Macaca fascicularis: one gene and its partners. The protein of the gene in region 1 interacts with the protein of each later gene in a biochemical or structural test. Links are inferred from orthologs where the notes say so. Each region holds a gene or a part of one and is shown in the gene's direction. Other genes may lie near its edges.

Region 1 (4,237 bases):
TTACTGTTAAGAGGATACGGTGGTTTGATGACACTAAACTATATTCAAAAGGAAGTAAATGAACAGTTTTCTTAATTTGGGGCAGGTACTATTAAAATAACAAAAACAAAAGTTAAGACAGTAAAATGTCCTTTTATTTTTTAATGCACCAAAGAGACAGAACCTGTTATTTTAAAAACTATGTATTTTAATTTACATCTGCTTAAGTTTGCGGTAGTGGGGACCCTCTCATGAAACCACGAACACCTATCGATTTTGCTAAAAATCAGATCAGTACACTCATTTGTTTAATTGATAATTGTTCTGAATTATGCCCGCTCCTGCCAGCCCCCTCATGCTCACGAATTTAGTCCCAGGGCAAACTCTAAAGGTGAAGGGACGTCTACACCCCCAACAAAACCAATTAGGAACCTTCCAGTGGTCTTGTCCCAGGCTGAGGCGACTAATATTTCCAGCAATTTAATTTCTTTTTTAATTAAAAAAATGAGTCAGAACGGAGATCACTGTTTCTCAGCTTTCCATTCAGACGTGTGTTTCTCCCGGTTAAATTGCCGGCACGGGAAGGGAGGGGGTGCATTTGGGGATCCCCGCAAGGACCGACTGGTCAAGGTAGGAAGGCAGCCCGAAGAGTCTCCAGGCTAGAAGGACAAGATGAAGGAAATGCTGGCCACCATCTTGGGCTGCTGCTGGAATTTTCGGGCATTTATTTTATTTTATTTTTTGAGCGAGCGCATGCTAAGCTGAAATTCCTTTAACTTTTAGGGTTACCCCCTTGGGCATTTGCAACGACGCCCCTGTGCGCCGGAATGAAACTTGCACAGGGGTTGTGTGCCCGGTCCTCCCCGTCCCTGTATGCTAAATAGTTCTTGAAATTTACACGTGTTAATGAAAATGAAAGAAGATGCAGTCGCTGAGATTCTTTGGCCGTCTGTCCGCCCGTGGGTGCCCTCGTGGCGTTCTTGGAAATGCGCCCATTCTGCCGGCTTGGATATGGGGTGTCGCCGCGCCCTAGAGTCCCCCCTTCTCGTGGTCTCCCCAGGCTGCGTGTGGCCTGCCGGCCTTCCTAGTGGTCCCCTACTGCAGAGCCACCTCCACCTCACCCCCTAAATCCCGGGGAACCCACTCGAGGCGGACGGGGCCCCCTGCACCCCTCTTCCCTGGCGGGGAGAAAGGCTGCAGCGGGGCGATTTGCATTTCTATGAAAACCGGACTACGGGGGCAACTCCGCCGCAGGGCAGGCGCGGCGCCTCGGGGATGGCTTTTGGGCTCTGCCCCTCGCTGCTCCCGGCGTTTGGCGCCCGCGCCCCCTCCCCCTGCGCCCGCCCCCGCCCCCCTCCCGCTCCCATTCTCTGCCCGGCTTTGATCTCTGCTTAACAACAGTAACGTCACACGGACTACAGGGGAGTTTTGTTGAAGTTGCAAAGTCCTGGAGCCTCCAGAGGGCTGTCGGCGCAGTAGCAGCGAGCAGCAGAGTCCGCACGCTCCGGCGAGGGGCAGAATAGCGCGAGGGAGCGCGGGGCAGCAGAAGCGAGAGCCGAGCGCGGACCCAGCCCGGACCCACAGCCCTCCCTAGCTGCCCAGGCAGAGCCCCAGCCATGGAACACCAGCTCCTGTGCTGCGAAGTGGAAACCATCCGCCGCGCGTACCCCGATGCCAACCTCCTCAACGACCGGGTGCTGCGGGCCATGCTGAAGGCGGAGGAGACCTGCGCGCCCTCGGTGTCCTACTTCAAATGTGTGCAGAAGGAGGTCCTGCCGTCCATGCGGAAGATCGTCGCCACCTGGATGCTGGAGGTGCGGGGCTTTGGGCGGCTCTCTTAAGACTTCCCTGCAACTTGTTGCCCAGACCCACGTTTCTTTGCTCCTCACCCCCCTCCCTTCTCTCCCGCTAGAACTTTGAAGTTTGCTGTGGTGTTGCTAGGGATCCGCATTTTAAAAATAAAAATTGTGGGTATTTTCTGAAGCAGGAAGGGGTGGGGGTGGGGGTGCTATAAGTTGCGTTTCGTGGGAGGGGAGAAGGGGGTTGGGGAGGGGTGCCGTCGGGAGAAGCCAGTGTCGGGGCACCCCAATGGGCCCGAGGGTGCGGGCTGGCAGGCTGAGTGCGCTTTGTGCCCCCCGCCTGCGCCCCAGCCCGGCTGCGCCTCCTCTCGCGGCCGCTGCGGCCGAGAGCCGCCAACTCCGGGGGGAGGGGGCATAGATTTGATTTTTAAATTAATATCCATGGACACGTATGCAAGGGCCGCTCGTGCCAGTATTATGCGCCATCTTTGCTCTTTTATTGCAAAGCAAAAGTGTTTATTAATAATTGGGGGCAGGGTGGGGGCGGGGAGCGGCCGCCGGGCGCTGGGGCCGCAGCTAGGGGCCGCGCGGCCGCCGGGAGCCCGCGGGAGGGGCGCAGGGACGCGGCATGGGGAGTTTTGGGGGGACCCCGCTCGGGAAGGGGGGCCCTTTGTTTAAGCAGCGAGTCCCGGGGCGCCCCAAATGGGCAGCCAGGGCCGGAGAGCACGCCGAGCTGCAAGGTCGCGTGGCCCCCAAGACGCCAGGGCTTGATCCCCGTCTGCAGGGATCTCGGCTTGGGGGACCTTCTCTGAGGGAGCCGGGGGCCTGGGAGCACATTTTCAGACCTTCGGTGGGCGCCTGAGGGGCCCGCAAGTATTTTTAAATAATTTTTGAAAGTGCGGCGTGGTGCCCTTGCGAGAGGGAAACGCCGCCCGCGCCCAGGGGGAAGGGGGGCCCCGGAGTTTGAATTCCTGGGGCTCCCCCCGGAGCCTGTAACGAACTCCCGACCCTCGGCCTGGGTAAAGGGTCGCCCGAGGGTCATTTTCAGGGTTTTTTTATGCACTTAGTTATTTTTTTAATATTTTTAAATATTTTTTGAAAAGATGACGTCTGGGGAAATGCGGCGCGGCGGCCTGGGACGCCACCTTTGTGTCTCGCAGGCGCGGCGCCCAACCCCGCGGCCCGTTCCGCGGCCCCGCACCCCAGTGGGTGTCGACCCTCAGTCAGAGGGACCACGGAGCTCCAGGGCGGGCCGGGGTCCCCAGGGCTGGCAGCCCGCGCCGCCGCGCACGCCGCCCAGCTGTGCCCGCTCCCGCCCCCACCGTGCCAGCCTCGCGGGGACTTTCCCTTTCAGTTTCGGGGAGGGTGGGTACTGGGGACGCGCGGGGGAGGGGGCGCATCACAGGAAGGTCCTTCCGCCCCCGGCCCCCACCCCTCCGCGCCCTTCAGAACTGGCGGTCCTGCCGAGCGCGATGGGGGGGTGCGGGGGCGGGGGTGGGGCGGCGCGACCTGGCGGCGGCGGTCACGGGCCCCGTGCCTCCGCAGGTCTGCGAGGAGCAGAAGTGCGAGGAGGAGGTCTTCCCGCTGGCCATGAACTACCTGGACCGCTTCCTGTCGCTGGAGCCCGTGAAAAAGAGCCGCCTGCAGCTGCTGGGGGCCACCTGCATGTTCGTGGCCTCTAAGATGAAGGAGACCATCCCCCTGACGGCCGAGAAGCTGTGCATCTACACCGACAACTCCATCCGGCCCGAAGAGCTGCTGGTAACCGCGGGACCCCGCCGCCCCCTGCCCCCCGAGAGTCGCACGCAGGATCACGGGGCCGGGGAAGGTGCAGGCAGTGGCGGCCGGCCCGCCTCTGACATATCTGCTCCCAGGGAGGGCGGCCCCGCCGCCGGGCGTCCCTGTCCCGGGAGCGGGCGGGATCCTAGCCGCCCCCGTCCCACCGCCCCCAAGTCGCTTGCCTGCGACTCCCACCGCGTTCGCGCCCGGCAGTGTGGCCGAAAAGTGGGCGGCGCGCGCCCTCCAGCGGCTGCACGAGGAGCGCCGCGCTCCGCACTGAGCCTTCTGTTTCAGGTGGTGGGAGGTCTTTTTGTTTCCACTTGCAGAGTCTTTTCACGCAGCGGGCACCTTTTCTGTTTTGATCTGGGATCGCGTGTTGCCCCGGCTCCCCGATACCACCCCCATCATTCGCCAGCCCTCCCCTCCCACCTCCAGGACCGCACGAGACGCAGGGGCCAGTGCTCTGAGCGGGAGGTGCTGCATGGCCCGGGCCCCCATGCTGCCGGCTTCCCCGCGCCCCCGGGCCGGCCCGCACCTCCCCTGATGGCCGCTCACCCTGTGTTCGCAGCAAATGGAGCTGCTCCTGGTGAACAAGCTCAAGTGGAACCTGGCCGCCATGACCCCGCACGATTTCATCGAACACTTCCTTTCCAAAATGCCAGAGGCGGAGGAGAACAAAC
Region 2 (3,500 bases), on another chromosome or scaffold:
TAGATGTCACATAGAAATTAGATGAATGAAAAGGAATTAGCCAACAAGAATTTATTGAATGCTTGTCTTTGTTAAGGAGAAAGGACAAAAATAAGCAGTCACATCATGTAAGATGTGCTAGTAGGGAGGTTATGTGAAACATTGATAAGAGTAGACTACAGCTTAACAAAGTTACTGGTGTTGAATTGTATAATATTATCTATGGGTTTTTATCTTCTTGTTATCTTTGTCCTATTTTCCCAAACAGCTTTAGCTGTTACATTTATTTTCCTTCACAGAAGTGTTTTGCTGCTCTGAAGTATATTTGACTTACCATGCAAGCAAATATTTTTCACTGTGTGGTATCCTTGTTTTGGAATGACCATGAAAAAGATAATCATGTTTAAATTTGAAGTGTAATTTTTTCTATGATAAAATAAGATCTTAAAGTATTTAATAATGTTCTCTTTCACAGTAGTGTTATGTGCAAACTATTGAAACAAGTGTGTACTGAATCAATTTGACTTATAAGTATATGCCAATTATATGATTATTTTCATTTGGTAGGCTTGAGTTTGAAGAAACCGAAGAACCTGATTTTACTGCGTTATGTCAGAAATTAAAGATACCAGATCATGTCAGAGAGAGAGCTTGGTTAACTTGGGAGAAAGTTTCATCTGTGGATGGAGTATTGGTAAGGATTTTCTTAAAATGTTTTGAAATTTTTTTTTCTCATTTTAAAAACAACTTCACATCACTATATAAAAATTGAAAGATAGAAGAATATAAAGACAATAAAAGCTAATAATAATTTCACTACCCAGAGGAAATTTACCTCTGCTAACATTAAACATGTTTGAGGCTGGGCACGGTGGCTCACGCCTGTAATCCTAGCACTGTGGGAGGCCGAGGCAGGCAGATTGCCTGAGCTCAGGAGTTTGAGACCAGCCTGGGCAACATGGTGAAACCCTGTCTCTACTAAAATACAAAAAAAATATTAGCAGGGTGTGGTGGTGTGCGCCTGTCGTCCCAGCTATTTGGGAGGCTGAGGCAGGAGAATTGCTTGAACCCAGGAGGTGGAGGTTACAGTGAGCGGAGATTGTGCCACTGTACTCCAGCCTGGCAACAGAGCGAGACTCCGTCTCAAAAAAAAAAAAAAAAAAGTTTGAAAAAAATCCCTCCATATATGCCTCCCACCAAACTATTTTAAAGCAGGTCTTAGTTATATTTTATTCACTATAATACAAGGACTTTTAAAAAAACACTGCCATACCTTATAAAATAATTTTTATACCTTCTAATATGCAATCAGTGTTCAGATTTCCTGATTGACTCAGAATTAGTTTTGTTAGAATTCAGGATCTTGAAAATATTTTGATATATTCCTTTCATGTTTTTCTTTGCATATGTATAAATGTATATGTTTAATAAAAGCAAATAATTACTAGAGTTTTATATGTACTGGGGCAATAGTATAAGAACTTTACATAGCCGGGCATGGTGGCGTGTGCCTGTAGTCCCAGCTACTTGGGAGGCTGAGGTGGGAGGATCATTTGAACCTGGGACGCGGAGGTTACAGTAAGCCAAGATCGCACCACTGCACTCCAGCCTGGGCAACAGAAGAAGACCCTGTTGCAAAATAAATAAATAAGTAAATAAACAAACAAACAAAAATAAGGCTGGGCGTGGTGGCTCAAACCTGTAATCCCAGCACTTTGCGAGGCTGAGGTGGGTGAGGTCAGGAGTTGAACTCTTGAGGTCAGGAGTTGAAGACCAGCCTGGCCAACATGGTGAAACCCCATCTCTACTAAAAATAAAAAAATTAGCCAGGCATAGTGGCAGATGCCTGTAATCCCAGCTACTTGGGAGGGTGAGGCAGGAGAATCGCTTGAACCCAGGAGGCAGAGCTTGCAGTGAGCTGTGATCATGCCACTGCACTCCAGACTGGGCAACAGAGAAGACTCCATCTCAAAAAAAAAAACACACACACACAAAACAATCAACTTTACAAATCTACAAATAACTCGTTTAAAAACCATTGAGATATGAAATATAAAATCTTTATTTTTACAGATGAAGACACCGAGTAGAGTGAGGTTGAGTAACTTGACCAAGGTCCCTAGGAAATAAGATCTCAAATATAAATTTGAGATTATACATGTAGTTATGTATAGTTACATGTAGTTACACATAGTTTTGTATTTTCCTGTTTTTTTCTCATATGAGCATTTTCTTATGTTATTAAATTTTTTTGTAATATAGTTTCTAGTGATAGTATAATATTTTAGCTGTTGGATATATTTTAATTTGTTAACTCTTACTGGATATTTGGGTTTTTTCCAACGTTTTGATGCTATAAAATAATGTAATAAACATTTGTATTTGTAAGACTAATGCCTGGCACAAAGTGAGTCCTTGATAATTTGTTAAATAAATTAATGAATGAATCTCTGATTATTTTATTAGAATAAATTCGTATAAGATGAATTACTAAATCAAAAGCTATGAACATTTTTATGACTCTTGATGATTATTGGTAGATTACACTTCGGACAGATACTTTTAATGAATTTACTTTCTCAAAATAGTAGTATAAAAGTATATATGTTTTTACTGATCTGATTAACACAACAGAATGTGTTTATGTATGTCCCATAAGAAAAGTGTTTAAAACCATTAAATAAAATCTCTGGCAGTAAAAAGGAGAAAACAAGTGTCATAATTTCCAAAGAATTGAACATAGTCTCACATTTCTTATCTAAAAAGAAAGGAATACTGAAGTATCTTGAATGTATGACTTGGGTATTATAATCCCCAGGCATCTAGTGTATATTTTAACTGACTTGGGTACTTCATGTACAAAGCTGTTTTTGTGCATATACAATTAAATGGAATCAGAGCTCCTTCACTTTTCTCTTCCTAAAATACTAGATTTTTGGTGTTCTGAAATTTTGGGATAGCTGATTATAGAGAGTATTAGTGAGTATACATACTGTAGTTTTCAATTTATAAGTGCATTGTGTTCCAAATCTGTTTGTAAGTTTGATATAGTAGTTAGGTTTCCAGCCTAGTTCACATAACTTATTTTTTTTGTACTAAACTATAAAAATAATAGTTTTAACAGTAGAGGCTCTTTTGAGCTTCAGAATTGAATACATATTTAAGCAAATATTACTGCTTTATTACCCTTTTTTCATCCTGGCTTTGTCTCTACCTTCCCTGGGAACTGGCCCAATTTAAATCTTATTTCCTAATGGAGCTCATGATGGGGACTAGGATGTGTGAAATTATTTATGGCTAGGTACTGGAGGAAGGTAAGAAAGGAATTTCTTGTTACTTTTGGGATTTGAGGTATGCTTTTGAAGGGTATAACAGAAGATGATGTCCTGTTGTTGTGTTATAAATCAACAGACTTTTCCTTGAAATATGATTTTAAGTGACAGTTAAGTTTTTGAGGGTTGGCCTGAGAATTTAATGTTCATTTATATAATAATATCTAAGGGAGAATGTGATAGAGTGTG
Region 3 (4,018 bases), on another chromosome or scaffold:
TTAGATAAAAAACATTATAGTAATAGAGGAAGTCATAAGGTTAAAGTTTCAATTCACCAAGAAATATCCATTCTAAACATGTATACATACCCAATTAAGCTGCCTCAAAATATATATGACAAAAATTTAGAGAATTGTAGAGTCAGATATAAGGATTGAAAAGGAAGAAATGAAACTAATTATTTTCAGATGATATATACATTTACATAAAAAACTCCAAAGAATCTTCAGATAAATTATTAGAAATTGTAGGAGAGCTCAGCAAGAAGGCAGGATATAAAATTAATATACAAAAGTCAATGTCATTTCACTATACTAGAAAAAAGACAATAACATTAGAAAATAAATCTAACATAAGATGTAGAAAAACTTATTAGAGGAAAAATTTTCTTGAGAAATATTAAAGAAGATCTAAATAAGTAGAATTACATCATATTCATGCATAAGAAGGCAACATTTTGAAGATGTCTTGTTATATATAGGCCTAGGAATAATATAGTTTTAAGTTATGTTATTTTGAACTGTAGATGAAAGAAAGCTCTTTTTTTTCCTTTGAGTATTTTAAGATTTTGAATAAAGTCATAGTGCTCTAGGAAGGTTGTAATATTTTATACTTCGCCAGCAGTGTTTGAGAATGCTTACTTCCTACATTATAACCACCATAAATATTTAAAACCTGATAGCACACAGTTTTAAAAATTTGAAATTCTCCAATTAACAGTGACCTTTAAAAATTATGTTTACTGGTCTCCATTATTTTGTCCTTTGTAAATTTTTATTAGTTTTTCTGTTCACATGTTCCATTTTTAAAATAGACTTTTAAGAGCTGTTTGTATTAAGAATATTAAGGCTTTGTCCCTATAATTAGTATTTTTCAGAATATCCTTTCTAGGTACAGTTTTTCAGTTCTAGTGCACAGAATGGAAACTTGTTACCTGCTATACCACATTTTCACTAGGATGTGATGTATTTATCACAAACAACAGTATTGGTCAACATTTTCCCTCGCTGTGAAGTGCACATTTGACATCCTTTAGAAAAATTACTGACGGTTTTGAGACGATTGTTTTGTGCTTTCTTTCAGTCAACGTAATTTTCCCGAAAGCAGAGATGACTCTTCCAGACATGCTAACAATGCCTGAACAAACTGTGTAAGCTTAGTCCAAAAAAAATATTTGATTAATAGATTTTATTCTGGTAGATTCTAAGGTTCTAAGCAGTCAGAGAAATAATCGCAGAGCCTCAAATATCTCCAAAATCTGATACCAATCCCTTTGATTGTGAATTATATTCTGTAGCTACCAAAGAAGGTAAGTTTTAATTTTTTCTACTCTATTAACTTTCCCTTGGGCAACTGAATATTAAGATGACTATGTAAGGAGGTTATCAGACCAAGGCCTCACACATCAGGATAAAAGCACATGCCATAGAAAGAACATTTGTGTCTCACAAGGTGATACCAAGGCAAGGCTATGGGATATATATGGGCACAATGTTGATATCTTCAAAGACTTGATACATAGTCTGGAGGTTTTCAGAGATTTTAATTTATAATGACAATCTTTCAAATTAGGAGAATTTTTGGACTGTAAAGTTAGCCAAACAAGTCTTCAATGATAAAAAAAGTCTATATCTTACACAGGGGGAATACATTTTTTGTTCGTTTTAATTTTTTCTCTGTCTATTCATACAGGGGCATCACATGTCTTTATCATTAAAAACTCTGATTTAGATAGACAGTTGTAGAGAAATTTAATGTGTGGGAATTTAAAGTTGTTTTATAAAGATGTAGCAAAATATAAATTTAAGACCCACAGCACCAATGAAAAAGGGAAATTAATTAAACTAGACAACTTTTATGGGTACTACCCATTAAAATTAAAATTTTAGTCATTGTAAATTATATTACATTGTAACAGTTTTCAATCTGTTGTCAAGTTAAATATTTTGGGTGACAATTGTATTTCACAGTTGTTCACACTTTGCATAATTTTCTAAGGAAAATGAGTCCCTTGGGGAGAAAATTGTTCTAAAATTTTATTGTTGGATAATGTTGCTGCACTAACATGATTTGCTGAAGTGGATCTACCATGTGTGTTTAGGTTTTTGTTCTTTACGAAATGTGTTGGGTGAAATTTTCCATAACACTGGTGAACTTTTCATGCTAATTTTCCAGTCCGTCAGTTTAAATATTATGCATTTTTTCCTGCGAATCTATCTTGAATCTGAAAAGGCCCCAGAAGGAATTAGCATGAGTCCAGAGTAGATGGACTGCAAATGTTACTCATATTTCAACATGTATCCAGCTTTCAGAAATAGCTTACTGAAATCAAGGTTGAACCACATGAAATTTTGGGGTTTTTTTGGATGTAAAAAAGGTTAAATATTGACATTTTCATATCATCCAATCTAATATCTTCCTCTAGTGAGGTTCTGGCAAAAAAAAAAAAAAAAAAAAAAAAAAAAGTATGATGACCCGAGTTGTTCACTCTTTTAAGCTTTATATTTCAAAATATTTTTAAAATTTAAAGCCATATAAGTGCATCCCAAAAAACATGGGAAAATTTTGTAGGCTACTTTTGTTTACTGATTTTTCTTCTATAGATTTATTTTTATGCTATGCCTGACTCTCCAATTAGATTTTAGTCATCCAGGAAAGTACAATTGCTCGTACTTCTAAGCAATTCTCCCATCACCTGGACATTAACTGCAGCCCACACTGCAGTGTCTTGACTGCAGTAGGCACTCAGTAAATATTTATTGATGGTCCTGATTATGGGATGATGAAATATGCTAAAGGTAACTTAAACTTTTGTCAATAAAACTGAGTTTCAGGTTAGTTTGACCTTTTCCGTATCTCTAAATATTTTCTTTCATGTCATTTTTGTGAAATAGCTCACAAAAGTACTTATTGATTCTGAAATCCTTTTCCCCTCTGGTATTCCTGAGCTATTCTCACTCACACACAGCACACCAGTGCCATCGTTTGCTGTTTTGGTTAAAATCATTCTCATTAATATTCCTCATTCAGTAAAAATAGTTGATTCTCAGTTATAAATATACACTTCATATTGGCATCCAACTGTTATGTGGGATGGAAAACAAAATGATGATATTGACTCCATAAGATAAACAGCAGTCTTTAGAATAGAGTTTGGTGCATAACTGTTCTAAATGTATCAAAGTTATCTCATTTAATCCTCCCACACACCTGTGGGAAGAGAGTATTTGTCTTGCTTTACAGATAAGGAAGCTGAGGCTTAGAAGATTCATATGTCTAACTAAGATCACAGAGCTGGTAAATCAGCCAAGTTTGAGTCTAAATCCAGGTTTTAAATATCATATTACATGTAGGCATAGATAAGCAAGAACAGGTTTTCCTGAAGATGGCCAGGCTAAGGCTTAGAAGAAGGAAGCTCAAGGAGACTAAACCAAGATATGCTAAGGCAAGTTTTTTTGTTTGCTTGTTTGTTTTTGAGACCGAGTTTCGATCTTGTTGCCCAGGCTGGAGTGTAGTAGCATGATGTTGGCTCACCACAACCTCCGCCTCCTGGGTTCAAGTGATTCTCCTGCCTCAGCCTCCCGAGTAGCTGGGATTATAGGCATGCACCACCATGCCCAGCTAATTTTGTATTTTTAGTAGAAACGGTGTTTCACTATGTTGGCCAGGCTGGTGTCGAACTCCTGACCTCAGCTGATCCGCCCATCTCAGCCTCCCAAAGTGCTGGGATTACAGGCATGAGCCACTGCGCCTGCCCTGCTAAGGTAAGTATTGACCATTAGAGGAGATGACTAGTCCTAGTGACAGGTCTTTCCTACTGGGAGTCAGCCAAGAGCTCCCCACTTTTCTGGTTCCGTTGTTCCTCCTGCAAAGTTCCATTGATAAAGTGGTTTCCCATTTGATTGTCCAATGATGCAAATCTCCAGTCCTTTATAGCATTGAGTTGCTTATGGCCTTTTACCGTTGAGTTTCTCATGGCTAATGAATGCTATTGAATTGGTGTTCCCATTTATCTAT
Region 4 (4,252 bases), on another chromosome or scaffold:
AATTTTATAAAGGCAAAAATTTGATTTACTATGAGATCAGTAACATGGTTTTAAAGTCAAAAGATTTATAGAAGTAGTATGTCCAATTCAAACAGAATTTTGCCGGGTTTTAATTTTTCTACAAAGCACTGAAGTAAATAATTTTGTGAAAAGTTTTTCTTTAATATGTTTTAAAGGGTTTCAAGTATTCTACAGATAGAGATTTTGGGGAGAACACCAAATTCTTTCCAAAAAGACAGCTATTTCAAGTTTTCTTTTACTCCATTGTAGAAGGTTTTAAAGACTTTTTTTCTCCAAAAGCTCATTTTCACCTGAAATAATTGTATTCAAGGGTTTCTCAGCAGGTAAAGTATACATTCTTACAAGGTTTCAAATTTCAGATTTCCAATAATGCATTTAAACTGAGCACTCCTCTTTCTGTGTATGTATCTATTGTCTGCAGTTCTATTATTTACACTAAATTTTAGTCCTTTTAGCTCCTCTGAAATACGTTAGTGAACCCTCAGCAGTTACTAACCACTTAATAATTGTGAACCCGCCAGCCCCTTCAAGTAGATCGTTAACCATAAGAGTGCCTGACAATTTCCAAACCATACCCTCTGTCTAAAAGGAAAAGATAGGGCTTTGTGAGGCAGAAAGGAAGCGAAGGAAAACAAAACAAATGTAGCTCATGCTGAAAGTGAAAAGTGCTTGAACAGATTAGTATTTTCTTTTCTGCAAGGCATCCTGCCAAACTTTTTCTTTATTTTTTTAAGAGAAGAGTTATTTTTTGGTCTGATTTTTCAGTTTCTTGGAAAGTATTGGTATTTACCACCCCCATCGGCCCTTCATAATTATTGTTAGTTGTTTTGTGTTTTTCCCATCCGTCCACGTCACACAGTGAGGATACCCCCTGCTTCACCCTGTCAAAACCCCAACTCTGGGCGACCCTGGGTTTGGAAACTCCGCCGACTCCCGACGACACGTCCCACTCTCTCCCACTAACGCCGCTTATTTTAGTCGCAGGATCCCCCTACTACAGTTTCAGTGAAAGCCGGAAATTTTCATTTAACTCCCCTGCCCCCCCAACCCCCCCGCCCCGCGCCTTTCTAGCCCCCGACTCGTAGAAGGGAGCTAGGGAGCCCGGAGCTCGGAGCACTGCCGGGGCTTGGCCGCCTCCTTTCTCTCCGGAAGGCTTTAATTTGCACACTTTCTTGCCACTGCGCCACGAGCCCCCAGCCTCGCCGCTGGGTGGGTCTCCGGCAGAGTTGGCTTCTCGGGTCCCTGCCCCCACCCCGCGCGGTCGCCCCCGCTGCCTCCCTGGCTGGGGCCCCCAGCGCCGGCCAGAGCCCCGCGGCCCCCGTCCGCCCCCAGCTAGCGGCGCGGGCGGCGCCCTCCGCCTTCCCTCCGCCCTCCGCCGCTGTGCCCACCCCCTCGCCGGAGAGAGTGCTGGTAACTCCTTCCCCAGAGTCTGATTACCTGCTCCGCGAGGCCGCGGACACGTGCGGAGAGCCGACTGACACTCGCAGCCCCCTCAGGAGGCCCGACGCGACTGGGCCCCTCAGGTGAGGAGCTGTGCGCTCGGGTGGGTGGGCTGCGGGGTGGGGGGTCCCTGGGGAGATATGGGGGATTGGCCGGGGTCCGAGGCAGAACTGTGGGTGGGGTAAGTGGAGGCTGGCGGGGGGTGGGGGGGACCTGTGTTTCCCTGGAATCGGCTTTGGTTAACCCCTTACGAACTGAGACGGCGTTGGTTATGGGGGCCAGTTTTGGGGAGCTAGAGGATTCTAATCTGACGAGAGGGGGAGATCCTACGCTAGGGACACCCGCGACACCGAGATCCTGCTTCCACGTACCCGTGCGCACACACACTCACACAGAACACTCCTCATCCAGTTTCTCCAAACGGAACTGGAACTTTACTCGGACATTCACATAATAATTCACATTTAGGGTTCAAAATGCACTGCCTCTAGGGACTCCATGCTGGAGAATGTGCTTGCATTTCCCCCACGAAAACTCCCTCGCCAGCTCGCTGAGGTGTGGGTGTGGGCTCCACCTTCCCCTCCACGAGATAAATGTTAACGCAGGCTTCCTGCGGGCGTGTTATGCACAGAAGAGTGCACGCAGCCGGCCGGTGCCCAGGCTTGGAGCCCCACGAAGACGCACGTTTGCTTTAGTTTCCAAGTTTACTTTTATCATTTAAAATATTGGAGTTAAACACACGCCCCGTGGTGAGCAGCCCTTGTCCCCGCAGGGCGCCCGTCCGTGTGCATATGGGCGCATCTGCGTGTGCGCACACGCGGGAGTCGCGGTCCCCGGTGTGGCCTCTTGTTGCCGTGCTGGTGGCGACCCTTGTGGTGCTTGGCAGGCTTCGGGAGAGGCGCATGAAGGATTTCATTGAGTGTGAAGACAGAGAGCAGAGACAGAAAGCAGAAGGAGGCGGCTGCAGCCTTTGTAGTCGCGGAGGAATGCGGAAATGTTGAAGCACTATGTCAAACTTTTTTTGAAATGGGGTCAAGTCACATTCAGCCAGCGTGGGAAAGCAACAACAACAACAAAAAAAAAGTGGAGGAGAGGGGGGGAAAAGGCATTGCTGCTCCCGTTTCTCTCCGCCGAAGCCGACCGTCTGGGGGGCGAGTGGGGGGAGAGTCAGGGTAGTGCGGGGCCCGGCGGGGGCAGCAGGCGAAGTTCCCTGCGGGGGTGGGACGTCCCCGACGCTTCCTTCGCTGCGGAGCCCGGGGCTAGACTCGAGCGGGAGGGGGATGGGGGGACGCAGGAGAGGCGGGTTGGGCGGCCGGCGGCGGCTCCCCGGCTACCTGTGTGGCCCTCGACCTGGCTCAGACGCCCGGGCAGTCCTTGGGGGCTCTTTCCTCGGCTTTTAAGGAAAGTTCTGAATGGAGTGAGTGCCAGAAGCTCTGCTTTCGCCGCGGTCCGCTCCACGCGCTCATCGTGGGGGTCGCGCCGTTTGTTTAATTCCTGGCAAAAGGCGAGCGGGGCAGCGGTTGCGAGGCAGGTAATTCCGAGGTGCCCCGGGAATTCCGGACACGCGGCCAGCGTGGTGAAAGTCCTGCCGAGGCCGCGGCGGCCGTGGGGGAGGGAGGCTCCCTAGGTCCCAGATAGCTGCTGAATGGGGAGGGAAAGTTAGGGTACCCTTCTCCGGCGCTTTGTTATGCAGAGGGCTCCGGGGGCGTCCGGCTGCAGCCTGGACCCGGCCTTTAGCCGGAGAGGGAATGGGGCAGCCACCTCCGCTACCTACAGCGGGGTGGTCCTGGGAGTGGGAAAAGGTTCGCGAGTCCGGGCCCCGAGGGCAGAGACCTTGTTTCTCACCCCTGGAGGCGCAGGGTTTAACCCCCCACCCCCCACCCTTTGAAAGAGAGGTTGAGTTTTGCTCAGGTCGAAATCAATTTAAAACTTCAGGACGAGGCGCGATTAAGCTATCCTCTTCCTGAAATTATTCTTTAAGAAGACGACAAGCGAAATTGTGACGAACACCCCTTTCTCCCACCCTTGGGATCCCGTGGGGGACAGTGTCTCCCCTCCCCCAGGACCTCTCGTTCGCCCACCCCCGATTAGCCCCAACCCTCCCCGACCAGATGGCTGGTCTTCCCAAGGTTTCCACCAGGGAGGTCCTCCCAGTCGGAGAGAGAATTCCGTTTCCAACCGAGACTCCTTTACCCCAAAGAGACCATTTGTGTATGCGAGTCGTTTTTAAATGTCTCCTCGTAGAAAAACTGAAAGTAGAAAGAAAGGAAGCAATTTCTGAGCAGATGTCTGACCACCCCTTCTCGCACACTCACAGCATCGGGTTACAGGGTCCTGGGAGCCCCCACCCACATTCTGCGGCCCCACACGGATGGACCCACAGTCCTTCCGCTCCAGCTTGTGCGCGACCCTTGAACGCCCTCCGGCACCCCTGGACCCCATCTCCCTGCACGTCCGGGCCTCAGGAGGCGGGGAGGGTAGCGACGCAACACAATGATATAGGGATAAATATTAAGCCGTGACATTGACGTGCCCGGCGCCTCCCCTCCCCCGCGCTCCCGGCACACTCTGGGCTGCTCGGCACGCCCCCTCCCGTTCCACTGCGTCCCGCGCCGCTCGCTCATCCCCGAGGGGCCCCTGCAACCTCTCCGCGCGAAGACGGCTTCAGCCCTGCAGGGAAAGAAAAGTAACTTCGCTTTTCTCGGAGGAACCAGGAAGGATTAAGCGGCTTGGGAGAGGGCAGGAGCGCGCGGAGGGTAGCGATGGAGGCTTCGTAAAGGAGGAGGAGGGG
Region 5 (3,500 bases), on another chromosome or scaffold:
CTCTGCCAGCTTTCAAGACATTTTAAGCTTTCATGTTTCTTGTCAGCCATGATTCTTTATAATCAATGCTTTAAAAGAACATAGGAATTCCTATTTGTACATGCTTGTTTTCACAGGATATTTTTAAACAAGCTACTGAAGATAGATTAACAAGTGCAAAGGAATTGCCTTACTTCGAGGGTGATTTCTGGCCCAATGTTCTGGAAGAAAGCATTAAGGAACTGGAACAGGAGGAAGAAGAGAGAAAACGAGAAGAAAACACCAGCAATGAAAGCACAGATGTAAGGGCATTGAGTTTCCTTTGAAACTTCTATAATATTTAATCCAAAAGTGCATTTAAACTTTTTTTTTTTTTTTTTTTTTGAGACGGAGTCTCGCTCTGTCGCCCAGGCTAGAGTGCAGTGGCACAATCTCTGCTCACTGCAAGCTCCGACTCCCGGGTTCACGCCATTCTCCGGCCTCAGCCTCCCGATTAGCTGGGACTACAGGCGCCCGCCGCTGTGCCTGGCTAATTTTTTCTATTTTTAGTAGAGACGGGGTTTCACCATGGTCTCGATCTCCTGACCTTGTGATCCGCCCGCCTCGGCCTCCCAAAGTGCTGGGATTACAGGCGTGAGCCACCGCGCCCGGCCTAAACTTTCAATTGGGTTTTAAACCTCTCAGGTGTGAAAGAGCTCTTTAAGTTGGGCAAGAAATGTTGGCTTAGAAAGGTTACTAGGGTTCCGTTTCAGTGGTATTAAACTTTCAAAACATCAGACCCCATTTTAAAATGGTATCTCAGACTATGAGTAATGTGAAATGATAAAAGAAACTGAAGGAAATCCTGAAAAACTGATAACTTATGTGAAGGACTAGGTTATTAATATTATAGGCCTTGTGTGTCACATATCTCTGGCATATTTTCTCTCTTCTAAAACCACACACGCTCTTTTTAAATGTAAAAACCATTCTTAGCTATGCAAAACAGGCCTGAGCCAGAATTTACCTGTTATTACGGCTTAGTAACCTCACCAGTTACTTCCCTATAGCATATCTAGAATTACCTCCATTGAATTTAACTTACAAAAGGCTCCCTTAAATAGTTTAACAAACTCTTACAGCCTTATCGTTTAGTATTTGTGGGCTCATACATTTTAGAATGTGGGTGGAAGGAGATAAAACCAAGGTCTTCTGGCTCCCCATTTTGATACACTCTTCACTACCCCAAAGTGCCAACCCTTCCTTGTTCCCTAACTCCAATCTGGGATACATTCAATCTATAGGGTCTGTACATTCTGTGGCCTCTTCTAGGCAGAAAGCTAAAGGGCTGCCATTGCCTTAATGAAGGATCACTGGGAGAAAATTAGTTCAAATAACAAAGGAGAAGGAATAAGTGAAGAGAACAGCTAGTAAAATAAGATACAAGCATAAGATTATGATACCTAGTTTCAAAGAATGGAGATATTCAATAGTGTTATTCCCAGATTACTTAACAAAAACCTTATTTTCTTGTCTCCTTTGTGCTACTCTGCAGGTGACCAAGGGAGACAGTAAAAATGCTAAAAAGAAGAATAATAAGAAAACCAGCAAAAATAAGAGCAGCCTAAGTAGGGGCAACAAGAAGAAACCTGGGATGCCCAATGTATCTAACGACCTCTCACAGAAACTATATGCCACCATGGAGAAGCATAAAGAGGTAAGATGCAGCCACCCACGCAGTTGGGGAAAAACAGCAAGATTTCTGGCCAGGCGTGGTGGATCACCTGAGGTCACGAGTTGAAGACCAGCCTGACCAACGTGGTGAAACCCTGTCTCTACTAAAAATACAAAAATTAGCCAGGTGTGGTGACAGGCACCAGTAATCCCAGCTACTCGGGAGGCAGAGGCAGGAGAATTGCTTGAACCCAGGAGGCGGAGGTTGCAGTGAGCCGAGATCGTGCCATTGCACTCCAGCCTGGGCAATGAGAGCGAAACTCCATCTCCAAAAAGAAAAAAAATGAATAAAATCACTGTTCGCTGGGCATGGTGGCTCATGCCTGTAATCCCAGCACTTTGGAGGTTGCCTCACTTAGGTAATGATTATTAACAATTAATAGTTACTAGCTATTTCAAGCAGTAAGTAATGCCACAGAATCCTAGGCAGTCGGGAAAAGCCCTTAGAATATATTGTAATAGGTTTGACTTAAATTGTGGACACATTCAATTTAGGTTGTAAATGTAGGTATTGGCCTGGTTGTAGGGTGGCAGAAGCAGCGAACATTGCTGGCCAGAGACACTGTGAGTGTGGCTGCCAGTGTGCACAGATGTTGAATAATCTGTTATCAATACAGCAGTTTCTCACAAGTTCCTAATTTCTTAAGGTGATGTTTTACATTTTGTTACTTTAATAGGCATTTATAGTTATATACTAATTAATGTCAAATACATAATAATACCAGCTTTTTATACCTTTTACACTAATGGTTATGAAAATTGATGGTTGTTAACGAGTTCTTTTCAAACTTCAGTGAACAAGAATTTTATTGCTTTGTCTACAAGGACTAAGATTTTTTATCCATTTCACTCCCTTTCAAACCTGTAGGAAAAGTTACACAGGAAAGTTGCACAGGGGACCTTCATGAGTCCAGGCCAGTTGTTTTTCATACTGTCTCCATATTTGGATTTGTCTGGTTTGTTGTAATTAGTTTGAGGGTAAACCATGGATTGCATCTTAAAGTAGACTGCCTTGGGGCAAAATGTCCACTGTGTGTGGTGCTCTACCTGACCTAGACCATTCTTACTCTGAAGGAGTTATTGAATAAGGGAGAAAAAATCACAGGATGTGCATTTCAGTTCTATTTATAGTCAGTCTCAAGATACCAAAAAGGTAAAGCAGGAAAAGAGAGCAGGAGGAGTATGGTAAAACTAACTCAGCATGGCCGGGCGCGGTGGCTCAAGCCTGTAATCCCAGCACTTTGGGAGGCCGAGACGGGCGGATCACGAGGTCAGGAGATCGAGACCATCCTGGCTAACACAGTGAAACCCCGTCTCTACTAAAAAAATACAAAAAAAAAAAACTAGCCGGGCGAGGTGGCAGGTGCCTGTAGTCCCAGCTACTCGGGAGGCTGAGGCAGAAGAATGGCGTAAACCCGGGAGGCGGAGCTTGCAGTGAGCCGAGATCTGGCCACTGCACTCCACCCTGGGTGACAGAGACACTGTCTCAAAAAAAAAAAAAAAAAAAAAAAAAAACTAAGCATTCGCCAGTCTCATTGATGCTTAGCCTGCTTTACCTGCTCACACCTGTAATCCCAGCACTCTGGGAGGCTGAAACAGGCAGATCACTTGAGCTCAGGAGTTTGAGACTAGCCTGGGTAACATGGTAAAACCTCGTCTCTACAAAAAATGCAGAAATTAGCCAGGCGTGGTGGTGTGGGCCTGTGGTCTCAGCTATTCAGGAAGCCAAGGTGGGATAATTGCTTGAGCCCAGGAGGCAGAGGTTGTAGTGAGCCAAGAGCACACCACTGCACTCCAGTCTGGGTGAC
Region 6 (4,077 bases), about 110 Mb from region 1:
GGGGTGGCTGGTCCCAGGAGATCAGTTAAGCCCAGAGTGGGGTGGAGGCCAGTAACGTTGGGAGGTCAGCCCAGAATTTCAGGGGGTGGGGGTGGGAGGCAAGGGGGTGGCATCTGTGCCATACCTTCTCCGAAGCGCTGCTCACCCAGGCGGCTCGGGTTGGCAAATTCGTACTCAGCGGTGGCTGGGTGGGCATGTGGCACTGAGCGGCCCGACATGGCTGCAGATGCAGCGGGAGCCCTGGTCCGAGGTGCAGCCCCAACAGGCGCAGCGCGACCCCTCCAGCTGCCCGGAGAGCCAGGGCTCGATAGGAGGTGGGGGCGGGGTCGACACCACCCAAAATAGTGCCGAGCCTCTGGGGGGGAGGGGCGGGGAGTGGGGGCCCTGAGTGAGAGCAACGAGGGTGTGACCAGCGCCGCCTGGACCCCTAGTCCCCTCCCCCGCACACTCTTCAGCTGTCGCAGGGGGCCTGAGAGGACAGCTGAGGGTCCTGGTTAGGAACGAGCTGAGAAGGGGGAGCTGGTGGTGCCTGGGGCATGAAGAGGCCTCGCTGAAACCCTCACAAACGGTTTGCACGTTTCCACACCTCATTTTCTCCTCCTTGGAGGCCGGCACTGTGCACCCAATTCCTAAAGCACTCCTGGATTTAATGTTCTGAGAGCCACATAGGATGAAAGATGCAAGAAATCTTTCTGCTCTTTTTTTCAGGGAGTGGGGTCTTTCTGCCCAGATGTCGGAGTCCTCTCCTAAACCCAGGTCAACCCAGGGCAGGAGGCAGATGGCTGGTACCCGCATGTTGACCATCACTGCTCTCTTCCAAGGACTCACAAAGAGTTAATGTCCCTGGGGCCCAGCCTAGGAAGATTCCAGTCCCTGCCCAGGCCCAAGATAGTTGCTGGCCTGATTCCCCTGGCATTCAGGACTGAAGAGGAGGAGGAGGAGGGGCACACTCCACCGCCTGCCCCTCCACCCACCCGCGTGCCTGCTTGGGATTCCTGACTCTGTACCAGCTTCAGAGAACTGGGGTGGGGGTGGGTGCCACTGGGTGTGTACAGAAAGCTAGTGAAACAAGACCATGACAAGTCACTGGCCGGCTCAGACGTGTTTGTGTTTCTCTTTTCTTAGCTCAGTGAGTACTGGGTATGTGTCACACTGCCAAATCCCCGATCACAAGTCTCCATGAACCGGCGGTGAGCTAGGATAATAAAACCCCTGACATCACCATTCCAGAAGCTTCACAAGACTGCATATATAAGGGGCTGGCTGTAGCTGCAGCTGAAGGAGCTGACCAGCCAGCTGACCCCCCACACTCACCTAGCCACCATGGACATCGCCATCCACCACCCCTGGATCCGCCGCCCCTTCTTTCCTTTCCACTCCCCCAGCCGCCTCTTTGACCAGTTCTTTGGAGAGCACCTGTTGGAGTCTGATCTTTTCCCGACGTCTACTTCCCTGAGCCCCTTCTACCTTCGGCCACCCTCCTTCCTGCGGGCACCCAGCTGGTTTGACACTGGACTCTCAGAGGTGAGTCTCCCCACTGCTAGAATGGGAGAGTCCTTACTGGAACCTCCTGTAAACTTCTCCATCCATTTTCCTCTCCTTTCCTGCCTAAACCATTTTAGGCACATGTGTATCCAAATGTGAAGAAAAATGAGGAGGTTGCTAGTTCCTCCCTCCCCCGTCACCTGTTTCTACTTGATGGTCCTCTGTATCCCATTTATTACATTTTTTTCATGCACTGTCAAGTTCATCCTCCATCCCCTAACTTCTCTGCAGGGTACCCCTTTCTGGTTTGGTTCATAACAATCTGCAGGGAAAGAGCTGCCTTCAAACTCCTTTGCTCATCTCTTCTAACACCATGGACTCTTGACCAATTTTACCATCTCAGGTGTCAGAGCCAGGAGAGAGCCCTGCCTCACCCTGCCTGAGCTGTTCACCCTCATGGGCATTTTCTGCCTTTTTATTCCCTCTTCTGTGATTTTCTGGGTTTCTCAGGGCTGTGACAGGGCATTGGCCTGGGTCCAACCAAGCCTTATGAGGAAACAATATAGGGACCCCCACTCGTCCTAAGAGGGTGAGAGAACAGGGTGAACATATAAGGTTGACAGAAGCTGTCACAGATAACGCTCTGGTTTAAAAATATTCGAGTGTGAGTAAACAGGAGATGAGTGGGCAAGGGCTTTGGAAGGACAAGCAGGACCAGCAGAACATTCCAGATTGGGTGGGTGGAAAACTGGCAAAGAGACCTGAGCCAGAAGAAGAGGCCTTTGTCTCACAGACAAACCACAAAGCCAGGCATCGGAGCCAGAGAGGCAGCAGATGCCAGGCCTGCACCCATCCTTGCGACTGGTCCCCTGGGTGATCTGTCTTCTTCTCTGTCCCTGTAAATAAAGTTTGGGTCGGATCACCATGAGCCTTAGGTATCACTGTGGTGGCTCCCTGAAGCAGAGAGCCATGTTTATTTAAAAAGGGGATATTTTAAAGCAGAAAAGAGAAGGATGAATTACCTGGACAGAAAGCAACTCTGCAGAATAAGACAACACCAGTATAATGAGTACTTTCGCCATCTTTCTCCCGTCCCATTCCCTTACCTTGCTATTTCTAGATGCGCCTGGAGAAGGACAGGTTCTCTGTCAACCTGGATGTGAAGCACTTCTCCCCAGAGGAACTCAAAGTTAAGGTGTTGGGAGATGTGATTGAGGTGCATGGCAAACATGAAGAGCGCCAGGTATGTAGCTTGGTTTTTGTTTTCTGCTCATTCATTCAGTGTATACTGTAATAGTCCAGGTAGTGCTATCAGCTTTGGAGGCTGGCTACATTCCAGTCCCAAGCTATAATAGTCTAGATCAGGGGTTACAAATCAATGTCTAGAAGACTAAGTTAGGGATAGACCTATTGCTGTTGTTACTGTTGTTATGGCCAGAGATGTGGTCTTTGTTTGATTTGATCGCCTTAGATGGGATGATGGGATGTTGATGCCCCATCTTAGCCAGAGGTTCTGAATCTTGGCCACATTAGAATCACCAGGGGAACTTTCAAAAAACCTAATGCTCAGGCATACTCCAGACCAATTAAATCAGAATTTTTAGGGGTGGGACCCAGGGCATCAACATTTTTTAAGGTAATTCTAATCTACAGTCAAGGTTGAGGACCACTGATTTAGGTATAGGGCTGTCAGACACCTAGTTGCTTTGCATAATTACATTAACTACAGGTACCCTAAAGGCACTTGAGTTGTGAATTCTCTGTTAGCTGTGCAAGAATCCATGTCTCTTCTTTAGCCCATCTTAATGCTGAACTACTTGGTTTGTCTAAATTTCAGAGCTGTGCTCAGTCTTTAATCCCCTATAGCCCATGCGGAAATCAGTTAATGAGAGCCTGTTTGGCTACATGCTTGAGAGTCAGCAGGCATACGGGTTAAGGTCATCTACTCTTTGGGGGAATTCTGACGAATGGAACAGCTTTTCATGACTTTGTAAGAGGGCTTTAAAATTCCTTCTCACCAATTAACGATAGCTCAGCGATAGCTCAGAACCTGTGCGTCAACCAGTACAGTTTGTCCTTAGTAATGTCCTCAGGCTGTTTCAATTTTGCTCATATGATTTAGGTTTGGGTCATAGTCTCCTTGGATGGAGTCTTTTTTTTTTTTTTCCCCCAGCAGCAGTCCTATTGTTCTGGAACCTTCTGGGACATTCCTGAAGAGTCAGGACAATTTCAGGGCTTCCTCAGGGACTCAGATTCTAAATGAGATTCCAAATTCTGTAGGCCCAGTCAACATTATCTAAACCTTTGGGAAATACTCCTAAACATATCTATGCCTCAGGGTTTGAAAAACAATGAAGTGTTGTACTGTTTCAGACTTCTCAGATTCTCACTGGTAGGAGTGACTACCTAGGTAACTTCATCTTAGCCACAACCCTGAAACAAAGCACTGTTTATTTTTCCTATGTTGTCATGGCATTTGGTCTCACCTAAGGGGAAATCAGGATGCCTGAGTTCTGGGCAGGTGATAGTAGTTCATATTCTTATCTCTCTGCCTCTTTCCTCATTCTTTTGGGTTAGGATGAACATGGTTTC
Region 7 (4,290 bases), about 2.2 Mb from region 1:
TCTCTCTGGCTGGCTCACAGGCTCACCTGAGATAGGGGCTTAGAGCTCATGGGCTGCTGGACCCTCCAACAGGTGTCTGACAGTCCCCCTCCCGACCTGGGAGGCTCCCGGTTTCAGGAGGGGGCTTCCTGCCTCATGGTAAGTGGGTCAAAAGGGAGGCAGCGGGAAATAATGGTCTCTCTTGGTCTGGCCTGGCTGGGGTGAAGCACTGTGTGTGTGTGTGTGTGTGTGTGCGTGTGCGCACGACCAGGGTCTGTACCAGGAAGGGCTGCAGGCGGGGGAGGGGCATGCTTCTTCACAGCCCCTTCCCCTGTGACCTCGGGCAGATCTTTCACTTTTACCCAGTACAACTGCCTCCAGCTAGCCTGGACAGGCAGATTCCGGGGCTGGAGTGGTCCGGCCCAAGGCTGAGAAGGGCTGGGACCCCCGACAGTGACATGATGGGCTCAGCCTCTGTTCCATCTACTGGGCAGGGTGGACCTCCGCAGATAGCGGCTTCAGACTCCAGCTCCAGGGGGCTGGTGGGAGTCTCTCAAGGTGTCCCACACATGGTCCCACGGGGAAAGAGTGGAGCTGACCCCTGTCCTCCCTCCCGACTCGAGAGCTTTAGGGCCAGCAGGTGTGTGAGGGCTCCAGGTGCGCGGAGCCCTCGAAAGGACACCAGCCCAGCAGCAGCAGGCCGCGCGGGGGCAGCCGAAGACCCCATCCGGCGCAGGCCAGGGCCGAGCTGGCAGCGGCGGGTCCAAGCCCTGTCAGCTGGCGCAGGAGGCCCAGGGGCGAGCGCGGGACGGAGCTAGGAGCTGGGGTCCGGACCGGGCCGGGGTCGAGCTGGGCCTGGCCGGACACTGGACCCGCCGGGAGCCGGCCCCTGCCGCGCAGGGCTGAGGCCCCCGCCTGCAGACAAAGGAGCCGGCGGGGGGCGGGAGCGGGGGGGGGGGGGTTTGCAGGGGGGATGGGGCGAGGGGGCGGGGCGTCGCGGTGTCACGTTACCGCCCGCAGCGCCCTTTAACTCCCGCCCCCGCCCCGCTCACCGCCCCCTTCCCCTGCTACAGCGCGCTCGCCCCGCGGCCGCCAATCAGCCGCGCGCCCCGGCCGCGCGCCCCGCCCCTCCCCCGGTGGGTGTGCGCGCGGCCAATGGGCGGTGCTCTGGGGCCGGGCCGCGGAGGGGCGGGGCAGCGGGGAGGCAGCCAATCGCCGCGGTGTTGTTGAAACTGAAAATACTACATTATGCTAATCGCGGCCGGGCCCGCGCGCACGGGGGTGGGGCCCGCGCGTATAAAGGGGGCCCAGGCGGGCTGGGCGTTCCACAGGCCAAGTGCGCTGTGCTCGAGGGGTGCCAGCCAGGTCTGATCCAGCGAGCGAGCCAGCAGGCATCGAGGGGGCGCGGCTGCCGGCCGAACGAGACAGACGAACCCGACGCAGGAGAGTCTACCACCGGACAGCCAGGTAGCCGCCGCGTCCCTCGCACACGCAGAGTCGGGCGGCGCGGGGTCTCCCTTGCACCCGGCCTCCGCCCTCCCCTCCTCTCCTTTCCCCTTCTTCTCGCTGTCCTCTCCTCTCTCGCTGCCCGCGTTCGCGCAGCCCCGGGCCATGTCCGACGCGTCCCTCTGCAGCACATCTACGATGGAGCGTCTTGTCGCCCGTGGGACCTTCCCAGTACTTGTGCGCACCAGCGCCTGCCGCAGCCTCTTCGGGCCGGTGGACCACGAGGAGTTGAGCCGCGAGCTGCAGGCCCGCCTGGCCGAGCTGAACGCCGAGGACCAGAACCGCTGGGATTACGACTTCCAGCAGGACATGCCGCTGCGGGGCCCAGGACGCCTGCAGTGGACCGAAGTGGACAGCGACTCGGTGCCCGCGTTCTACCGCGAGACGGTGCAGGTGGGGCGCTGCCGCCTGCTGCTGGCGCCGCGGCCCGTCGCGGTCGCGGTGGCTGTCAGCCCGCCCCTCGAGCCGGCCGCTGAGTCCCTCGACGGCCTCGAGGAGGCGCCGGAGCAGCTGCCTAATGTCCCGGTCCCGGCCCCGCCGTCCACCCCGCCCCCAGCCCCGGTCCTGGCTCCAGCCCCGGCCCCGGCTCCGGTTGCGGCTCCGGTCGCGGTCGCGGTCTTGGCCCCGGCCCCGGTCCTGGCCCCGGCCCCGGCCCCGGCCCCGGCTCCGGCTCCGGCTCCGGCTCCGGCCCCGGCTCCAGTCGTGGCCCCGGCCCCAGCCCCGGCCCCAGTCGTGGCCCCGGCCCCGGCCCCGGCCCCGGCCCCGGCCCCCGTCCCGGCCCCGGCCCCGGCCCCGGCCCAGGACGCGGCGCCTCAAGAGAGCGCCGAGCAGGGCGCGAACCAGGGGCAGCGCGGCCAGGAGCCTCTCGCTGACCAGCTGCACTCGGGGATTTCGGGACGTCCCGCGGCCGGCACCGCGGCCGCCAGCGCCAACGGCGCGGCGATCAAGAAGCTGTCCGGGCCTCTGATCTCCGGTGAGCCCCGCACGGCCCCGCCCCGGCCCGGCCCGGCCCCGCTTTGTCCGGCCGGCCGGTCCCCCCAGCCCTCGGGGGCCTAGCTGGGTTCCCGCCTCCTCCCGTGGCATTAAAGGGCCCGCAGCGCTCAGGGCGCGGCTGCGCCCGCACCCCCCCTCCCCGCCCCGTTGTTATGTCCTCCAGCGGCTTTGCGCGGGCGGGGTGGGAGGCTGAGTCCCGGCCGCGACCCCCCGGGAGCGCGGTCTTCGCCCCTGGCGCGGGAGCCCCTCCCCGGGCGCGGCCGGGCTCCGTGAGCACGGCGCGGAGGGGGTTAAGCGCGGCGGCGGCCCCGGGGGGCTTGGCCGCGGGACAAGGGGAAATGCTTACACAGCACATTGCGCGGCGACGTAAACAAAGCTGACCCGCCGCGGACCTCGGCGCGGGCGGGGACGGCGCCCCCACCCCGGCCGGCCCGCGCCCCGTGCCCTCTCCTGGCCCCCTCTCGGGGCTCCGGGCCGGCCCCGCCCTGACCGGCCGCGCGCGCTGTCGCCCGCAGATTTCTTCGCCAAGCGCAAGAGATCAGCGCCTGAGAAGTCGTCGGGCGATGTCCCCGCGCCGTGTCCGGCTCCCAGCGCCGCCCCTGGAGTGGGCTCGGTGGAGCAGACCCCGCGCAAGAGGCTGCGGTGAGCGAAGTGAGTACAGCGCACCTGGGGGGTGCGGGGGGCTGACCCGCGGGGTCCCCGCCGGCTTTCCTGACCGCCCTTCTCCCCACAGTTTAGAGCCCAAAGAGCCCCGAGGGAACCTGCCGGGGCAGCGGACGTTGGAAGGGCGCTGGGCCTCGGCTGGGACCGTTCATGTAGCAGCAACCGGCGGCGGCTGCCGCAGAGCAGCGTTCGGTTTTGTGTTTAAATTTTGAAAACTGTGCAATGTATTAATAACGTCTTTTTATATCTAAATGTATTCTGCACGAGAAGGTACACTGGTCCCAAGGTGTAAAGCTTTAAGAGTCATTTATATAAAATGTTTAATCTCTGCTGAAACTCAGTGCAAAAAAAAAGAAAAAAGAAAAAAAAAAGGAAAAAATAAAAAAACCATGTATATTTGTACAAAAAGTTTTTAAAGTTATACTAACTTATATTTTCTATTTATGTCCAGGCGTGGACCGCTCTGCCACGCACTAGCTTGGTTATTGGTTATGCCAAAGGCACCATCCATCTCCCACATCCGGTTATTGACAAGTGTAACTTTATTTCCATCGCGGACTCTGGGGAAAGGGGTCACTCACAAGCTGTAGCTGCCATACATGCCCATCTAGCTTGCAGTCTCTTCGCGCTTTCGCTCGCTCTCTTATATTACTGTGTTTATCTTAAACTTGAAGACAAATCTGTTAAAATGGTTCCTGAGCCGTCTGTACCACTGCCCCGGCCCCTCGTCCGCCGGGTTCTAAATAAAGAGGCCGAAAAATGCTGCAACTCCAGTCTGTTTGTGCTTGTGCCTGCCTCCAGCTCCCTTCTCCTGCACCCCCAAAAGCTGGAGAGCTAGAACGCAGGAGAGAGCAGGCCAAAGTGGGCATCCCCAGTCCATCCAAAAGGGGAAGCCTCTCTCCTGGCTGGGCCTGGCCCAAATCCACCTGCTCCAGTTCCCTTATCTCAGGAGGGGCGGCCGGCCTGCAGTGCACCCTGCATTTATCACCTCCCACCTGCGGGGCTGCAGAAAGACAAGCGTGGGCTTCACATAGCCCCAGCAGGCAGGGAGCACAGCCCCTGACTTGCTGCCCAGACTCAGGCTTGTTTAAAGGAAACCATGAGAAACCCCTCTGCCCCCAGCTGATGGGCTCAGGACCCTGCTAGTTT

Evidence for each region.
Region 2: of the proteins of CCND1 (region 1) and RB1, one has a biochemical effect on the other in vitro, tested with the Homo sapiens proteins (15 studies listed by BioGRID, with this or other methods). The link is inferred for Macaca fascicularis from reciprocal best matches to the Homo sapiens genes CCND1 and RB1.
Region 3: the proteins of CCND1 (region 1) and ESR1 form a complex in vitro, tested with the Homo sapiens proteins (2 studies listed by BioGRID). The link is inferred for Macaca fascicularis from reciprocal best matches to the Homo sapiens genes CCND1 and ESR1.
Region 4: the proteins of CCND1 (region 1) and CDK6 form a complex in vitro, tested with the Homo sapiens proteins (3 studies listed by BioGRID and IntAct, with this or other methods). The link is inferred for Macaca fascicularis from reciprocal best matches to the Homo sapiens genes CCND1 and CDK6.
Region 5: the proteins of CCND1 (region 1) and EP300 form a complex in vitro, tested with the Homo sapiens proteins (2 studies listed by BioGRID). The link is inferred for Macaca fascicularis from reciprocal best matches to the Homo sapiens genes CCND1 and EP300.
Region 6: of the proteins of CCND1 (region 1) and CRYAB, one has a biochemical effect on the other in vitro, tested with the Homo sapiens proteins (2 studies listed by BioGRID, with this or other methods). The link is inferred for Macaca fascicularis from reciprocal best matches to the Homo sapiens genes CCND1 and CRYAB.
Region 7: the proteins of CCND1 (region 1) and CDKN1C form a complex in vitro, tested with the Homo sapiens proteins (2 studies listed by BioGRID). The link is inferred for Macaca fascicularis from reciprocal best matches to the Homo sapiens genes CCND1 and CDKN1C.

What each region holds. Positions count from the first base shown.
Region 1 is NC_088388.1:5,018,136-5,022,372, reverse strand, and holds the start of CCND1 (G1/S-specific cyclin-D1), read left to right. Parts: upstream 1-1,437; 5' UTR 1,438-1,595; coding exon 1,596-1,793; intron 1,794-3,323; coding exon 3,324-3,539; intron 3,540-4,125; coding exon 4,126-4,237. UniProt on the Homo sapiens protein: Regulatory component of the cyclin D1-CDK4 (DC) complex that phosphorylates and inhibits members of the retinoblastoma (RB) protein family including RB1 and regulates the cell-cycle during G(1)/S transition.
Region 2 is NC_088391.1:27,436,600-27,440,099, forward strand, and holds part of RB1 (retinoblastoma-associated protein), read left to right. Parts: intron 1-546; coding exon 547-673; intron 674-3,500. UniProt on the Homo sapiens protein: Tumor suppressor that is a key regulator of the G1/S transition of the cell cycle. The hypophosphorylated form binds transcription regulators of the E2F family, preventing transcription of E2F-responsive genes.
Region 3 is NC_088378.1:59,861,242-59,865,259, forward strand, and holds the start of ESR1 (estrogen receptor), read left to right. Parts: upstream 1-1,218; 5' UTR 1,219-1,310; intron 1,311-4,018.
Region 4 is NC_088377.1:128,509,896-128,514,147, forward strand, and holds the start of CDK6 (cyclin-dependent kinase 6), read left to right. Parts: upstream 1-1,452; 5' UTR 1,453-1,544; intron 1,545-4,089; exon of another isoform or gene 4,090-4,252. UniProt on the Homo sapiens protein: Serine/threonine-protein kinase involved in the control of the cell cycle and differentiation; promotes G1/S transition. Phosphorylates pRB/RB1 and NPM1.
Region 5 is NC_088384.1:10,442,487-10,445,986, reverse strand, and holds part of EP300 (histone acetyltransferase p300), read left to right. Parts: intron 1-116; coding exon 117-281; intron 282-1,513; coding exon 1,514-1,675; intron 1,676-3,500. UniProt on the Homo sapiens protein: Functions as a histone acetyltransferase and regulates transcription via chromatin remodeling. Acetylates all four core histones in nucleosomes. Histone acetylation gives an epigenetic tag for transcriptional activation.
Region 6 is NC_088388.1:110,836,565-110,840,641, reverse strand, and holds the start of CRYAB (alpha-crystallin B chain), read left to right. Parts: upstream 1-1,277; 5' UTR 1,278-1,323; coding exon 1,324-1,524; intron 1,525-2,314; exon of another isoform or gene 2,315-2,383; intron 2,384-2,605; coding exon 2,606-2,728; intron 2,729-4,062; coding exon 4,063-4,077. Other genes in the region: HSPB2 (heat shock protein beta-2), read right to left, coding at 125-218. UniProt on the Homo sapiens protein: May contribute to the transparency and refractive index of the lens. Has chaperone-like activity, preventing aggregation of various proteins under a wide range of stress conditions.
Region 7 is NC_088388.1:2,803,911-2,808,200, reverse strand, and holds CDKN1C (cyclin-dependent kinase inhibitor 1C), read left to right. Parts: upstream 1-1,490; 5' UTR 1,491-1,590; coding exon 1,591-2,458; intron 2,459-2,993; coding exon 2,994-3,124; coding exon of another isoform or gene 3,125-3,129; intron 3,130-3,211; coding exon of another isoform or gene 3,212-3,353; 3' UTR 3,354-3,909; downstream 3,910-4,290. UniProt on the Homo sapiens protein: Potent tight-binding inhibitor of several G1 cyclin/CDK complexes (cyclin E-CDK2, cyclin D2-CDK4, and cyclin A-CDK2) and, to lesser extent, of the mitotic cyclin B-CDC2. Negative regulator of cell proliferation.